3 linked regions of the Neurospora crassa OR74A genome follow. The protein of the gene in region 2 interacts with the protein of the main gene of each other region in a pairwise test. Links are inferred from orthologs where the notes say so. Each region holds a gene or a part of one and is shown on either strand. Other genes may lie near its edges.

Region 1 (5,022 bases), on a different chromosome or scaffold from region 2:
CCTCTCAATGCATCCCTGACCTATATGTGTCCTCATCTTTCAATCAGGCTATCCGTCTCGCTCTTGCTAAAGACGCCACCATGCCCCAGGCCTCGACAAATCGAGCACGAACAAACCAGAACCGCGAATGCTCCCAGTCAGACTGTGGAACGAGAGGCATAATAGCCTCAGCAGTTATGTGAAGGGAATCCCAATCACATCCATCCCCCCGCCTTCATCATTCTGCCTACAACGCGGAAAAGACAAATAGCTGTGGGAAAGATGGTTAGCTATCAATAGGGCCCAGATGAGGATGCGGTTAAGAACTAGCGGGGCAAGAACTTACGTTGTTGGTTGCTGCGATGGCGATGCTGTCCTCGAACGGATGCCAGCTCATATGGAGAATCTTCTTGTTGAAGTCGATTTGATCGGCGTCTGTCTCTTTACGCATCCTTTGGCCCTGGCCTGCCGCTGCCGGGCTTCCTGCCCGTGAATTTCCCTTCTTACCACCGTTAGCTGTGGGACTTGTCGACGAATTAATGGGTGTCGGCACCCCAACTTTCTTGGCCTTGAACGCCGACTTATCCGCTTGCAGGACGACCTCCACCTCCTTGTCGGGATCCGATGGGTAGATCATGAAGTTGTTGTTGTAGCTTCCTGTCATTACGTTCTTGGCGTCTCCAGAGAATACAACCTCGAATTTGTCAAAAATGCTGTCATTTTCGTATGTGTCGCAGAGTCTCGGCCTGAGGTGTTCATGAATTGGAATCGTCTTGACTGGCTGCCGCTCCATGTTGACATCCCAAATCTTGACCGTCAAGTAGTCGCGAGAAAGGATATACCGGCCGTCATGGGAGAATCGAACGTCGGAGATGGAAGATATGATTTCAGAGAAGAAAGATCGGGACGATGGGTCTTCTTCTTGTTCGAACACTATACAGGGAAGAAAAAAACGAATTGTAAGCAATGATCAGCGGAGAATAGAGATAAAAAAAAAAAAAAAAAAAAAAAAAAAAAAACACTTCAAACACAGTTCACCGAAATCCAACGTACTCTTTGCGTGCTGGTCGCACAACGCCCTTTCGCGCATATCTGCCAGCTTGATTGTGCCCTTAGAACTGGCATACATGAACCAGTTGCAGCTCAGAGGGTGGAACTCTGCGGCTGTAATGACCTCTGTCAATTCCTCCATGTTCGCCGGCTTGATGTCCACAATGTTGAAGCTCTGGTCTTGGATATTCAGATTCCATAGGTTGATCCGCAAATCATCACTGCTGATGAAGGTCTCGCCATCGCTGTTGACGGAAATGCTGTTGATGTGGTACGCATGAGCATTGGCATATGTTCTCCGAGGCACGGCGGCAACGACTGTGTCGTGATGGGTAAGCCTGGGTAGCTTGAGATCGGCGGGACTGCGAAACTGAGTATGAGGTAAGGCACGAGGTGCGCCTCCACCGCCGGCTACGCTTGCAGGCGTCAAATCATGGGATAGGTTGTTCTCGGCGACAACCTTAAGCGACTTCTCGAACACTTTCCATAGCTTGATCGTCTTATCGTTTGTCGAGAGGAGGTAGTGGGAGGCATTTTGTCTCCTGCACCACTTGATTTTATTGATCTTTTCCTCAATTTCAAGGGACTTGAGGTAGTCGAACTCGGGCTCGTGGGACTGAAATTCGGTATGAAACTTGTATTCGCAGGTTTTTTTCTGTCCACAGGTAAGCAAGACATAGACAAGAAGCGGGCCAGCAAATAAGCCGGAAGGGAAAGGGGAGAGGGGGGGTTTGCCGCAACTCCACTAACCGTCTCGTTCCGTTCAAATAGCACGACTCGTCCACCCTTATCACCAGTCGCCAAGTAGTTTCCGGTGTGGTCAAATTCTACCGTGGAGATGATATCGGCTGGTAAAGGCGGGTCAGTATGGCTGAGGGTATTGATGACGTGAGGAGGGGCATTGACGGGCTCCTGGTCGAGGGACCCGTCGTGGGAGGAGGGGTGGGTCGTACCTTCGGTGATGTCCTCAACATCTCCCTTGTCGCCGAAGCATCTATGACAAGATCTCAGTACGATGAAGTGGGGCAAACACAGGAAAACGAGGCGACGTCTCGTATAAAGAAGAGCGTTGACGGAGAAAGGCGTAGGTCAACGTGGAGCGGAGATCGGATCCAGCCGCGGGCGCGGGTACGGGCACAGGGACAGGCACGAGCGCAATCGCACAGAGACGGACGCTCGTGAGGCAGAAGTCGACGGGGATGGAAAACATGACGGAGGGTCAAGGAGGAGTTCGACTTACTGGGTAAACTTCCATGTCGGAGAGTTGGTATCTGTTTCCACCATCTTCAACGATTCCCGGGGCCGTGGGCGATGAGATCCCCACCTCTACCAGATATGGGACAAGGACGACGAGCGGACGGAGGGACAGACGGGCAACGGCGGCAAGGGACGACGTTCCCAAGGGCGATGATGGACAAGAAGAGATTTCACGAGCTCGAGGCGCGAAATCAAGGGATGGCGGAGAGACGGGAGTTGGAGATCTGGAGAGAGGTGCCCAACAGAGACCGGGTTAAAACACGTGGGTGCGCTATGGATGTTGTTGCAGGGAGCATATGTATGGATGAAGGTAAGGGTCGGTCGGGTAGGGAAAGACGGGAGGAAAGCAATAAGCAAACTTGGTAGGTGTTGAGGTAAGGTATGTAATGTACCTGGCTGGTGGGCGGTCGGGTGTGGTGGAAGCAGAGCCCGACCCGAGTGGTAGTAAGGTACGTAGGGCGACGAAAGGGAAGCAGACGGAGGTACGCCGGTAGCGCAGCGAGGTACCTAGGTAGCTGGGCGGAGGAGGACCTGATGGGGCCCGGGATGGAGGGTGTGAGGCTCAACGGCCAGACGGAAAACTACCTCTAAGTACCTAGTAGTGCAGCGATAAAGCGATTGAGGTGCGAACCTGAACCCAACTGAGAGAGTGTTTTTTGCCGCAGCGGCGAGACCTGGACAACTGAAGACTATGGGTGCCGACCGAGCGATAATCTGTCGTTGCTTCCTGGGAGCTGACTACCTCTGGACGTGGGCCGGTTTCCTGTTCGTGCTGCAGGTGCGCAAAGCCAAGTGAAGATGCGGGGTACGTCAAGCCGAGTGCTGTATGCGGATATGGCGTAAAGTGTTGTTGGTGAAGGGTTAGGTTGTTGCCTTTGCAAGATTGAGCAAAAGACGGATGGTGGATGGAGATGGAGATAGATGGGCCGAGATGTGGGAAGGAGCAAGCAAGGACGCCCTCATCCTGCCAGGGAGTTAAGCTTTGGCGATTGAAGGGAATGACGAGCTAGTTAGTTAGCGAGGTACGGAGTGGGCACGGGGTGGATGGGCGGGCGATGAGGTACCCTTTACTACATGCTAAGTAGGTACGTATGGTGGTAAGGTTGGCCCCTCCCTCCTCAACACAGGGGCATGGGGGCCCGTCAGCCCGTGCCCTCCATGCCCGCCCGTTCAGGCCTGCTCGGTGAATGGAAGATCTCGTCCAATACCCAGGGCCGCGCAGCTTCCACCAGTGAGCAATTGCGGGGTCCATTTATCCCGGGCGGCGACGAGATGGCATCTGCCATGTACAACTACGAGGTAGGCTCGTAGGTATATACCTACCTACCTAGTATCAACCTCTGCGCTAGGTATTGGGTGATGGTATACGGGCATCTACACCAGAAAGGCACACTCGCTTTGTGCCAGCTGACTAGCTATTGAACTTGGACGTATGCTATGGATCAAGAGCGCACTTTAAGTTGTCCGCATACGTCTTCAATAGCTCATAGCAAAGTATGGTCATGACCCGGCCTCTTAACACCGCTGAGGTCCGTCTCTGGATCCCATGATGGCATCATGGCTTTATTGTGCCCATGGCATGTGTTGGCGTGTGGTCCCGTCGCTTTGTTCAATATCTCTTGAGCCTTGCCATCCAATCGAACGGCCCCCACGGGTGCAACTGCAGCTCTTTCAGCTTCCGTCTTTTGTTCACAGGTACATATTCCATCAGACATGCCAGGACTGTCTAGTTCGCGACTGGACGGAAAAGTTTGGCAGGTCTGATATCCCTGTTACATGATAGATGTCATTCAAGGTGAGGAGTCTAAACTCCCCAGACGCTGCTGTAGCCTCACGGCCATGTCGAAACGCACATGCTGCATGAATCACCCCAAAAAAGCACGTGTGGTGTACTGGCCCGCCTTGAAACTTCGGGGTCTAGGTCTGACGTTGCGGATCTGCCGGGGAGCCGGGACTATATAAGTTACATGATATCCACCCTCCCCCGGTCCGCATCATTGCTCGGACCTGGCCACGGCATCCTTCGTCTTCTTGGATTTTTGACAGGTCATAGGGCCCCCACCTATTGATGTTGGGCAGCACGTTGCCGGTCCTTGATGTCTCTCCATCTCTTCCTTCTTATTATCATCTCATCGGTACGGCTCTTGTAACTCAACTCTCCCGCTTACACATCGATCTCAGCCCATCACTAGATTTATATGCACCCACCAATCTCATTGTGAGGTTGAAGATGGTGCCAATGCCTGAAAAGACCAAGGGTAAAGGAAAGGATGTTGGAACGTCGGAGGAATCAGTTGGTGCTGGTGATATAGGCCACAATGGGCAGACCGGGGGCGGGGACGATCTGCTTACCCGCATCGCCAAGTCAGCAACATCACTACCTTCAGCTTTGTTCTCCAAAGGTAACATGACCGGCGCAGTTTCGGGACTAGGCAACGGCGAGAAGGGAGAAGGCTCACGAGCGGCGGCAACAGTGGCAAGGGCCACGGGAAATCTCGAGCGCGTGGGTGAGAGTTCTGCCCCGCTTCATTCTGCCTCTCATGGCGGCGAGACCATCAGGTCAGCCCAGATTCAGGGACATGTTGCGATGCAAGAGGCTTCTTTCGCCGCCTTTCTTGACACCACCGAGCCTCTTACGGCGCCCGAAGGAGCAGGTGTATTGGAAGGGGCGTGGAATATGAGAGGCAATGTTCCGAGTTCGACAGTACCAGCAACAAACAACCAATGGACTCATTC
Region 2 (5,032 bases):
ATCAGCGCCATCAAGGACGCCGATGTGTCACCTTTCCCACCGAACAAAGAACTCTTGGCCAAGAGTAAATGGCTGAAGCACATAAGCGGTATCTTGTCCGGATCAGCCTTGATTGCACAAAGAGTAGGTATCCAGCACTCCAATGTTCTCATTCACTGTTCCGATGGATGGGATCGCACAAGCCAGCTCAGTGCCCTTTCTCAGCTGATGCTTGATCCCTATTATCGCACTCTCGAAGGCTTCATTGTGCTGGTTGAGAAGGATTGGCTGTCTTTTGGACACATGTTTCACCTTCGGTCAGGGCATCTAAGTCATGAGGACTGGTTTACAGTGGACGGCGATGCACTTGCAGGGACCGCCGTGAAGCCAGGGGAAAATGATGGTCGGGCAGACCATTTTGAGAACGCCATAGCCGGCGCGAAGCGATTTTGGAGCAAAAAAACGGCCAGCGGGAAGGAAGCCGTTACTGATGCGGATGGGACGCCTATCGAGACCGGCGTGGAACCTGCTGTTGCCGAAAATATGGCAACAAGACCCAAGGATATCTCGCCTGTCTTCCACCAGTTCCTCGACGCCACCTACCAGCTCCTCAGGCAACACCCGACTCGCTTCGAGTTTAACGAACGATTCCTGCGCCGCTTATACTACCATGTGTATTCTTGTCAGTACGGTACCTTTTTGTTCAACAACGAGCGCCAGCGCCACGAAGCACGGTTACAAGAACGTACAAGAAGCGTGTGGGCCTACTTTCTGAGCCGGCGCTCGGAGTTCACGAACGAGCAGTACGATGCCACAGTTGACGACCACGTCAGGGGCCGTGAGCGTATACTATTCCCTCGCTGCGACGACGTGCGGTGGTGGCACCAACTCTTCAACCGGACGGATGATGAGATGAATGGCGACCTCAATGCCTTGGCCGCAACAGCAGAGCGTGTTGCTGCGTATCAGCAAGCTTCGTCGTCATCAGAGCTTTCAAGGCCTGTCGATGCGGGTACGATTGATGTGAACAGCAACCCACCATCGTCCGGCGCCCCATCGCGGACATCGGTAAGCCCCACCCGGAGCCCGCTGCCGCCGGGCTTGGCAGCTACCGCGGCCGGAGGGTCCGTGCATGCAGGCGTGGAGTCGGCCCACGAGGTTCTGACGCCCGGGACTAGAAGTCCGGCGCCACCAAACCGGAATGTCGCCGCTGGAGATCCTACGGGCACTTTTGCAGCTCTTCAGGAGAGGATTTCCGGATTGTCGCTTGGAAAGGCTATGTTTGGCGGCGGCACCGGTGGGAGCACAGGGCGAAGTTCGATTGGAGGATCTGGCTCTGATTCCGGGCGGAATTCGCAAAACGAACTGGCGGAGCAGGAGATGAAGAGTATGAGTTAGATGAGTGGTGAAGAATGTTGGAGAAAGAGTAGAATAATATGTGGGCAATTGGTTCCCGTTATGAGAATAGCACGTTGGAACAGCATGCTCCCTGATGAAGCAAGGTTAGCGATGCTTTAGTTGCAGTAATGCCTGACTTTATAAGACAGCAAAATATGAACAGCATACATTCCCAAACCAGTATCAGTATTAACATGTGATGATGTTTTAGTGAGTCAGAATTGGAATACGTGATGTTGTAACAACTCACCTTAGGCTGTAACAAGGCAGTTAGTTGGTGTTAAACATTCTCCCCTTCTTGCATCTTGATGGCTGTTGCCATTCTTCCGGAGCTGTAGCACCTCCTTTTTATGTCAGTCTGCAGTGTTTTCCAACAACCTGACCTCACGAAGAAATGTAAGTTGAACAGAAAGAGCGGCTTACGTCGCGAGTTGGAAGCGAAAGAAGTGGTTCATTGATAGAGGTACCTACCTACCTAACTCTCGTGGTGCAGCAAGTAGGTACCTACGTAAGTGGTGCCCGGTGCGCCTTGAGGGGCCACCCCTACGACGGGAACGGGCGGCTACGTCCCAAGCTGAAATGGCGAGTGGCCAGTGCTCCTTCTCAGTTCTCACCCTTGTCCGCCCGGCCCCCGTCATGAACTGGACCCCAGCTTTGCGCGTCAGGTCAATTTGTGTCGAAGACCGGGTCCAGCTGTGTCCCGCCGTTGGTTAGGCGACCTTAAGTGCTGCCCTGCTGCCCTGCTGCCCTGGCTGCTGCTGTTGCTGCTCCTCCTTGTTGCGGCCCTGCGGGGACCACCAAGCTCGCTCCGATCTCCACCTCTAGGTGTAGGTGAGTCCTCCCCCCGAACAGGAACCACCGTCAACCCTCCATCAAGCAACCCTTACCTATTATCAAGCAAAACCGTCCAGTATCATTCCTTCTTTGCCTGCTTGCTGCCCGCCGTGTCGTGGCGCCGTGTGCGAAACTACCTTACTGCTGAGAGATCGCATCCAATTCCGATTTCGACCCGACGAAGCGTCACTCTTGCTTTTTCTTTTTCAACCAAGCAACCAAAACCAACCTAAATACAACAAACCTACCTACCTACCTAGCTGCCCGCCCAAGCAACGCAGTTACCAAGTTGCGCACACGCACGCATCCACTTTCCTCTCTCTACCACAATCACAGTCACTGGTACCGCCGCCGCACAGCGTCGCCCGACCGGCTACCAGTCCAGTCCACACCCCCCCGTCTATTGCATCACGCCCGCAAGCGAACATCCGTACCAAGTCAACCAGTTTGTCCAAATCCGCCTCGCTCGCCGACTGTATACTCCCCCGCGATCTTCCGCGTCCACTTCACAAATCGCCCACAATGGCCGACGCGACGAACGCGAACGACGAGCTCTTCCCCATCGCCGTGCTAATCGACGAATTGAAGGTATGATGGCGGTGACCCGGACGGCCAGAACCCCTGACTATCCCTTCTTGTCTGGTTGATGGACTGTAAACCCTGATTGACTTTGGGCAGCACGACGAGGTCGTCCTCCGATTAAACGCCATCCACCGTCTTTCGACTATCGCCCTTGCTTTGGGTCCCGAGCGCACTCGCGAGGAGCTGATTCCCTTTCTCGATGGTTAGCCAACCCTTCGACCCAGCTTCAGCCTAGCAAACCCACCTGCGCCGGCCTCTGGCTACACAGCCGCTGGGACTCTTGAGATACGGCTGCTGACACTTCTGAATGCAGAATCGGTTGAAGATGAAGATGAGGTCCTCGTTGCCCTGAGTGAAGAGCTTGGTAACTTTGTCGAGTACGTGGGGGGCCCCGCATGGGGACATGTCCTTCTTTCCCCCCTTGAGAACCTCGCTGCTATCGAGGAGCCCGTGGTGCGAGACAAGGTACGGATACGTGACCATTTCCTGGCTTCTTGTCATGCGACCCGCATGTGTACTGACAAACGTTTTAGGCTGTCGAATCATTGAACAAGATCTGCACTCAACTCTCTTCGCAGCAAGTTGAAGAATACTTTATCCCTCTTACGATTCGCCTCTCCAAGGCCGACTGGTTTACGTCCAAGGTTTCCGCATGCGGCCTGTATACAACCCCCTACTCGAAAGTTTCGCCGCCTATTCAAGAACAATTGCGCCAGCAGTTTGGACAGCTCGTCCACGATGAGACCCCCATGGTGCGCCGTCAGGCCGCCACCAACATGGCCAAGTTCGTGAAGGAGATGCCGGCTCCCATCGTTATCGAGGAAATGATACCCATGTTCCAACACCTCGCCCAGGACGACCAGGACAGCGTCAGACTCCTTACAGTCGAGATTTTGATCTCTATTGCGGAGGTTGTGCCCAAAGAGCAACAAGCCAGCCACACCGTGCTCCTCACATCGCTACGCAGCTTGATAGAGGACAAGAGTTGGAGGGTCCGCTATATGATCGCCGACAGATTTGAGAAGGTTCGTGGTCGCGCTAAGCACTTGGCCTCCCCTCATATCAATTCTTGGATGACTAACAGCACATACAGATTGCGAAGGCGGTTGATGATGAGGTTGTGTCCAGAGATCTTGTTCCTGCATTCGTAAAACTCCTGAAAGATAACGAGGCTGAGGTGCGGACTGCCATCGCCGGCCAGATCCCTGGCTTCTGTGCTTTGGTTGACCGCAACGTTCTCCTGAATGACATCATGGGAAGTGTTGAGGATCTCGTCTCGGATAGCTCCCAGCATGTCAGAGCTGCCCTTGGCACACAAATCAGCGGCCTCGCTCCTATCTTGGGCAAGCAAGAGTACGTTCCCGCAGTCAGACACGGTTTCTTTGATGCGTATGCTAATTATTGCACAAGGACTATTGATCATCTTCTGCCCATGTTCCTTCAGATGCTCAAGGACGAGTTCCCAGAGGTTCGCCTTCACATCATCAGCAAACTGGAGCTTGTGAACCAAGTTATCGGCATCGACCTCCTTTCTCAGTCTCTCCTTCCGGCCATTGTACAGCTAGCCGAAGATAAGCAGTGGCGTGTACGCTTGGCTATTATCGACTACATCCCGCTTCTTGCCAGCCAGCTGGGCGTCAAGTTTTTTGACGAGAAGCTCAGCCAGCTTTGCATGGGCTGGCTCGGAGATACTGTTTTCTCCATTCGTGAGGCCGCTACTCAAAACCTAAGGAAGCTGACCGAGGTGTTTGGTGTTGAGTGGGCAAGCGAGGCTATTATTCCCAAGGTTATGGCTATGGGTGCCCACCCCAACTACCTTTACCGGATGACCACTTGCTTTGCTATCACGGTAAGAGACTCAATGGCATACGAAAATCAGTGAAGTCCCTGTCTGACTAGTGTTTACAGACCCTGGCTACCGTTGTCAGTCTGGATGTGATTGCCAAGTCCATCCTTCCGATGCTGGAAAAGCTCACAGCCGATTCGATCCCCAATATTCGCTTTAACGTCGCAAAGACATATGGCATCATCATCGGTGTTCTGCGTCGTCTGCCCGACGAGGGCACCATCTATACGCTAGAGAAGGAGGGCAAGCCTGCCACCCCGTCGCCCAAGGGTCAGGAGCTCATCCAGCAGCGCATCATGCCGTGCTTGGAGAAGTTGCAAAAGGATGATGATGTGGATGTGCGGTACTTTGCGACGACTGCTGCGGCCCAAGCAACTGGTCCTCTTATGGGAG
Region 3 (4,714 bases), on a different chromosome or scaffold from region 2:
CTCTTGTCATGGTTTCGACGTATATAAGACCGGCCGGCAAAAAAGCCCCTGTTCAGCCTTGTTTCCCTGCTTCCTTCAACTTCCTTCTTCCTCCAATCGCGTGATGACGGGTTTTCCCAGCTTCGTACATGACTTTGACACCGAACAATGCCCGTGGCCTTGAGCTCCAAGATAAAATAAAAAAGAACAACACGCCTGAAAAGACAGCTCCTTCGTGAAGGCGTATTACCGACTTCTGGATGAACCTACTGAGCTTTGCCTCTCGTGCATCCCGGGTCGTCGCTCCCTTCTATCACCATCCTGCAACTTCAAAGAATCCAGCCTCTTTTGATTATCCTCTGTACCGTCTACTTCTTCTAGGCGAGGCAGCGGGTGGACAGTGGTGCGAGCTGGGATAGAGCTGGTGCCATTGGATGTTCCACTTTCTACTTTCCTCTGCTTCGCGAGTTCTTCGAGTCGAGCCCATTTGCTCTGGCGATGAGCTTCCCTTGCAGGGGCGTTGCTTTGGTTTTCCGTGTACTCGTGGGAGCAATCATCGAATAGCTGCGGGTTGATTTCCATAAATAGCTTCATAGCGTTATATACCATGCCGTGGATGGTTCTATTTTCGGTTAGTCGTGATACCTCAAAATATGTGATGTTGTTCAAACACGTACCTATTCCAATGTCCCTTGGAGTTTTCGTAGAGAGGAGCGAACATGATGGGGAGAATGATCTCGACATTGTCGCTCACGAGATTGCAGAAGTACTCGTTGTTCCAGAAATACAAAGCTCTCTCGGCGACCTGGAAGTGCGGGCTGGCAACCGATTTGGCGAGCTGATGGAACAGAGGTTCTTGGACCTTGGCGAACTCAGCCGGGTCCATGACCTCGAAGATGTCTTCAACCTCGTTGAGAAACATGACCTCCTTGGTGCTGTTGACCTTGGGCCAATAACGGAGAAGTCCGAGAACAACCTGAGACAAATGTTAGCTTATGGTGGGGTCGCAAAAGACGGGGTGTGTCACATGCCTCTTCTGTCAAGGAAGCATCCTTCTCCAGGAACTGCACGATGCAGTACGCCAATTGGGGATGGTACATGCTCAGACTCTTGACCTTGTGAAGAGGAAGCAATACTCTGGTAAGGAAAAGCTTGTGCTCCTCCTTGAGAGGGAGCGCAAAACCGTTGATGATTGACCCAAGAATTTCGAGCAGTTCGGCAATACCATTGAATCTTTCAGTTTCGTACGTGAACTGGAAAAAGACGTTGTTGATAGAGCGGCGGATGAAGGACCTCAGGTTGAGGAACTTGCCGTAGATACGATGCAGAGTCGTCTTTAAAAAGTCCCGTTCTCTGGGGTCCTCGGAGTCGAAGAGCTCGAGTAGCTGAAGAACGAAGCTATGATCGATATACGCCTTGGCAATATTGGTGTTGAAATCTTGACTTTCAATGAACCGGAGGAAGAACTCATAGACAACTTGAATATGCGGCCAGGCAACCTCCAGGACCGGTTCATCCTCTTCGGGATCGAAAGCTTCACCCTGCGGGTTCATGGGAGGAGGAATTGGGCGGAATAAGTTCTTTGCAAACATCTCAACCACACGCGGATACATTGGCTCAGTGATGACTTGCCGGTTATTAGCGACATAATCCAGCAGCTCGTGAAGGGCCAATCGCTTGATCTCCTTGGACTTCATGTCGGCGCTCGCATCATTGAAGTCAAAGATGACGTTGCACTGCTCGATCTTCTTCATGAACAGATCCTGGCGGTGATTGGGGGCCACCTCATGGAAGCCCGGGAGCTTCTCGAGCTCGCGATGGGCTGAGATGTCGAACCGCGACGAGTTCTGCCTCTTTGGCGTCCTGAGCCCTTCCAGGACGTCTTTGGGGGTCTGGTGTAAACGGTCAAACATAAGCGACTTTTGTCCGGCTTTTGGAGGAGCGAGATCGTGCGGCATCGTTTCCGCGGCGCCGGGAGGTGGGACATGCTACGACAACCAATCGTTAGTATTTCCATGGTCCAGGTACGGCAGTCCAAGGAGCTTCTTACCGGCGCGCTGGGGCTGATTATAACGGTAGGAGGAAGGGTGCCGTGACGGACAGGGGTGCTGCCGCCGTTGGCGCCCTGTTGCTGCCCCCCGATACTGCTGAATCTATCCGCTGCGCCAGGGTTCGAGTTGCCGCCTTGAGGGCCGAGCATGGAATTGCCGTGGTCGCCATGGGCCGCATTGTTAGGCGGCAATGGCTTGTTACGGCTGTCATTTACAAGTGTCGACGTAGACGATGAAGGGGTGAGAACGGGCGACTGGGTGGCCTCGCGAGAGCCTTGTGAGTTGGGGGAAGCTGTTCCGTCCTTCGCATCCTTATTCTTCTTGGACTTGGAATCCTTGTCCTTCGTCCTCGAGAGCTAGCACGACGGTGTAGCATTAGCGATCCGTTCCAACGGGACAGCTTACAGAAGACCTAGGGTTGACTTACGACTCTCTGGCTGAACCGCTTCATCTTTGAGGACAACAGTTTCTCTGCCTGTGGGGCGAGTGAAGGCTGCCCGACCTGAAGGTGGAGGGGTAATGAGGGCGCGGCGATAGTCTGATAGCTGCTGTATACGAAAAGGGGGTGGCTAGCCAAAGGCTAGGATGTGTGCCGAACAGCTCGCGGGTTTGAGACTGCGATGCCAACGGGCGGCCGGTCGCGGACTTGCTTCACCGAAAGCTCTACGTCCCGCCTGGATGTCGAAGAGGAGGGGTGCAGTGCGTCAGAGCGAACTTCCGACCACAAGCCCGACTGTGGCTGGCAGTATAAATGGGAACGACGCCGCGTTGGATGATGGCGAGGCCACGGCGTGTCAATCGACTTTGTGTAGTTGCCCGACGGCCGATTGAATGGTAACCTTGGTAGGATAGTTAATGCTAGGGGTGTCGGCGACGGGAGTCGGGGGAGCGCGCTCTCTCGATGGTGGCAGAGGCAACGGCTACAGCAGCAGTAGCAGGGTGAAATGCTCTGAGGGCGCACGGCGAACTGGCGGAGTAACGGAATCAAAGCCGCGCGGGATCGGATGACAAGTCAAGGTGACGACAACAAGCGCAGGGTGTCTCGTCGACGGCGGGCGTGCTGGCGTGGTAGGTGTTGCTGTAGGGACGTTGCCGGATGGGAGTTGGGAATTGGTGCTTCCAAGTCCAGTGTGTGTTTTGGGACCTTTGGGGGGGGGGGGGGGGAGGGGGGGATGAAGCGAATGCCAGAGAGAGGGACGAACTTGCTGGTTCGATGGAGGTGCGAGACGGGACTCTTGAGAGTAGGTAGGGTGCTGTTAAAGAATCAGGTAGCGCCAGCACCAATCCGCTAAACAAGCCAGAAGTGGAAGTCTGGGTGGTAGATCTGCCCAGTGAGTGTAGGCCCAGATGAGCCAGGCCCAGGATGTTGCTGCGGGGCTGGACGGGATGCAATCGCGGGACCCAAAGCCGAGTGTGAGGGTGCCAGGTGCCAGGTGATGTGGCTGTTTGTCCAATGGTCCAGTCCCTTGTCGCTTCCACTCTTCGTTGGTGGTGAGTGTACACTAGAGGTACAACGCGGAGTCGAAGCCGAGCTGTGTGAGAAATTCCCTTCGGACGCTGGAGCTGCTCACTCGGCTGCGTCAACTCGCTTCCAACTTTGTTAGGTTCACTAGAGGTATGTTGGGTTGTTGGAGGTCCGAGCGGTGTGTTTTGTGGCTGTCAACTACCTGCCTAGGCTCCTAGGTTAGGTAAGGTACGGTACCTAAGGTAGTCAGGTACCGACGTAGCAAAGTCGTGGACAGACGCAAAAGCTTGTAAATGAATGGGAAGGTGATGATCGCCTAAAAAGACCCCGGACGGAACCTTGAATCAGGTTTTACTAAGGGACGGTCTTGTACGAAGCTTCAAAGAGGTGTAACAGCAGCTACCTCTATAGGGACGGTTGTTGTTACCATGTCCTTGACAATTACATGCAGAGTGAAGACGGGCTCGAGGCTGAAACGGCAAAGAGAACACTGCACTTTCTTTCCTCTGTTGTAGCTCGGTTTCGCAAAGTGCCCGAGCAGATTCCCTGAAGTAGTAGCGCCCAAGGGGAAGCTGATCTAGATACGCCGGCGCGCTTATTACGGCCTGGAGATGATCACCCGAACAGGGCGAAAGGACGTCCAGGGAATGGAAATGGGATGGCGAGGCTGAAATGTTATTCCGTTGCTGGTGTGCCGTGGAAGCGGATGTCACCAGGCAATTCAAGAGTTGTGTAGGTAGGCTGCGCTATCGCTGTACTAACTTTACGTACATAGAAAACGCTAGGGGAAATAATAGGCCAGCGATAGAGATCAAGCACAACAGGTCCCCTCTAGGGGAGGTATACTGCGGTAGTCTTAACCGATGTGTCCATGCTTGGAGGTGGCCCCGAGCCCCAGTCTTGGTAATTACAGGTGTCAATGATCTCCACTCGAATGAACTGCAGGCGTTCATTTAGCGCCATGCAGGGTGTCTTGGGCCCATTTCCAGTGCTCCCCACAGGTTCTTCCTTTTTCAAGCCTCATTTGCTTGCTTCAGTGTTTCTGTGGTCAGATGGTATGAATCAACGAGCGTCAGTCTTTGTATTTCTAAGGTTTGGTTGGCAATGAATATCTCAGGCTCGTTTGATGGCTAAAAGGAAAGAGCGAATCATGTTACCTACCCAATACAACCGCGTTACGGCATAGTAACCACCTATGCAGGGCATGCACAAAGGCAAG

Evidence for each region.
Region 1: the proteins of NCU00488 (region 2) and rgb-1 interact in binary tests that used the Schizosaccharomyces pombe proteins (3 or more experiments, as listed by UniProt). The link is inferred for Neurospora crassa OR74A from reciprocal best matches to the Schizosaccharomyces pombe genes paa1 and pab1.
Region 3: the proteins of NCU00488 (region 2) and NCU03786 interact in binary tests that used the Schizosaccharomyces pombe proteins (3 or more experiments, as listed by UniProt). The link is inferred for Neurospora crassa OR74A from reciprocal best matches to the Schizosaccharomyces pombe genes paa1 and par1.

Annotation. Positions count from the first base shown.
Region 1 is NC_026501.1:3,523,347-3,528,368, forward strand, and holds the start of rgb-1 (protein phosphatase PP2A regulatory subunit B), read right to left. Parts: upstream 3,239-5,022; 5' UTR 2,314-3,238; coding exon 2,270-2,313; intron 2,024-2,269; coding exon 1,983-2,023; intron 1,878-1,982; coding exon 1,780-1,877; intron 1,685-1,779; coding exon 1,033-1,684; intron 913-1,032; coding exon 326-912; intron 251-325; coding exon 227-250; 3' UTR 1-226. Other genes in the region: NCU09376 (hypothetical protein), read left to right, coding at 4,355-5,022. UniProt on the Schizosaccharomyces pombe protein: Phosphatase 2A affects a variety of biological processes in the cell such as transcription, cell cycle progression and cellular morphogenesis, and provides an initial identification of critical substrates for this phosphatase.
Region 2 is NC_026503.1:4,029,390-4,034,421, reverse strand, and holds the start of NCU00488 (protein phosphatase PP2A regulatory subunit A), read left to right. Parts: upstream 1-2,008; 5' UTR 2,009-2,733; coding exon 2,734-2,799; intron 2,800-2,889; coding exon 2,890-2,995; intron 2,996-3,106; coding exon 3,107-3,258; intron 3,259-3,326; coding exon 3,327-3,818; intron 3,819-3,886; coding exon 3,887-4,146; intron 4,147-4,203; coding exon 4,204-4,642; intron 4,643-4,701; coding exon 4,702-5,032. Other genes in the region: NCU11185 (protein phosphatase), read left to right, coding at 1-1,377. UniProt on the Schizosaccharomyces pombe protein: Phosphatase 2A affects a variety of biological processes in the cell such as transcription, cell cycle progression and cellular morphogenesis, and provides an initial identification of critical substrates for this phosphatase.
Region 3 is NC_026505.1:2,408,271-2,412,984, forward strand, and holds the start of NCU03786 (serine/threonine protein phosphatase 2A), read right to left. Parts: upstream 3,181-4,714; 5' UTR 2,482-3,180; coding exon 2,458-2,481; intron 2,387-2,457; coding exon 2,030-2,386; intron 1,968-2,029; coding exon 1,011-1,967; intron 956-1,010; coding exon 657-955; intron 602-656; coding exon 226-601; 3' UTR 1-225. UniProt on the Schizosaccharomyces pombe protein: The B regulatory subunit might modulate substrate selectivity and catalytic activity, and might also direct the localization of the catalytic enzyme to a particular subcellular compartment. Has a role in cell shape control and septum formation.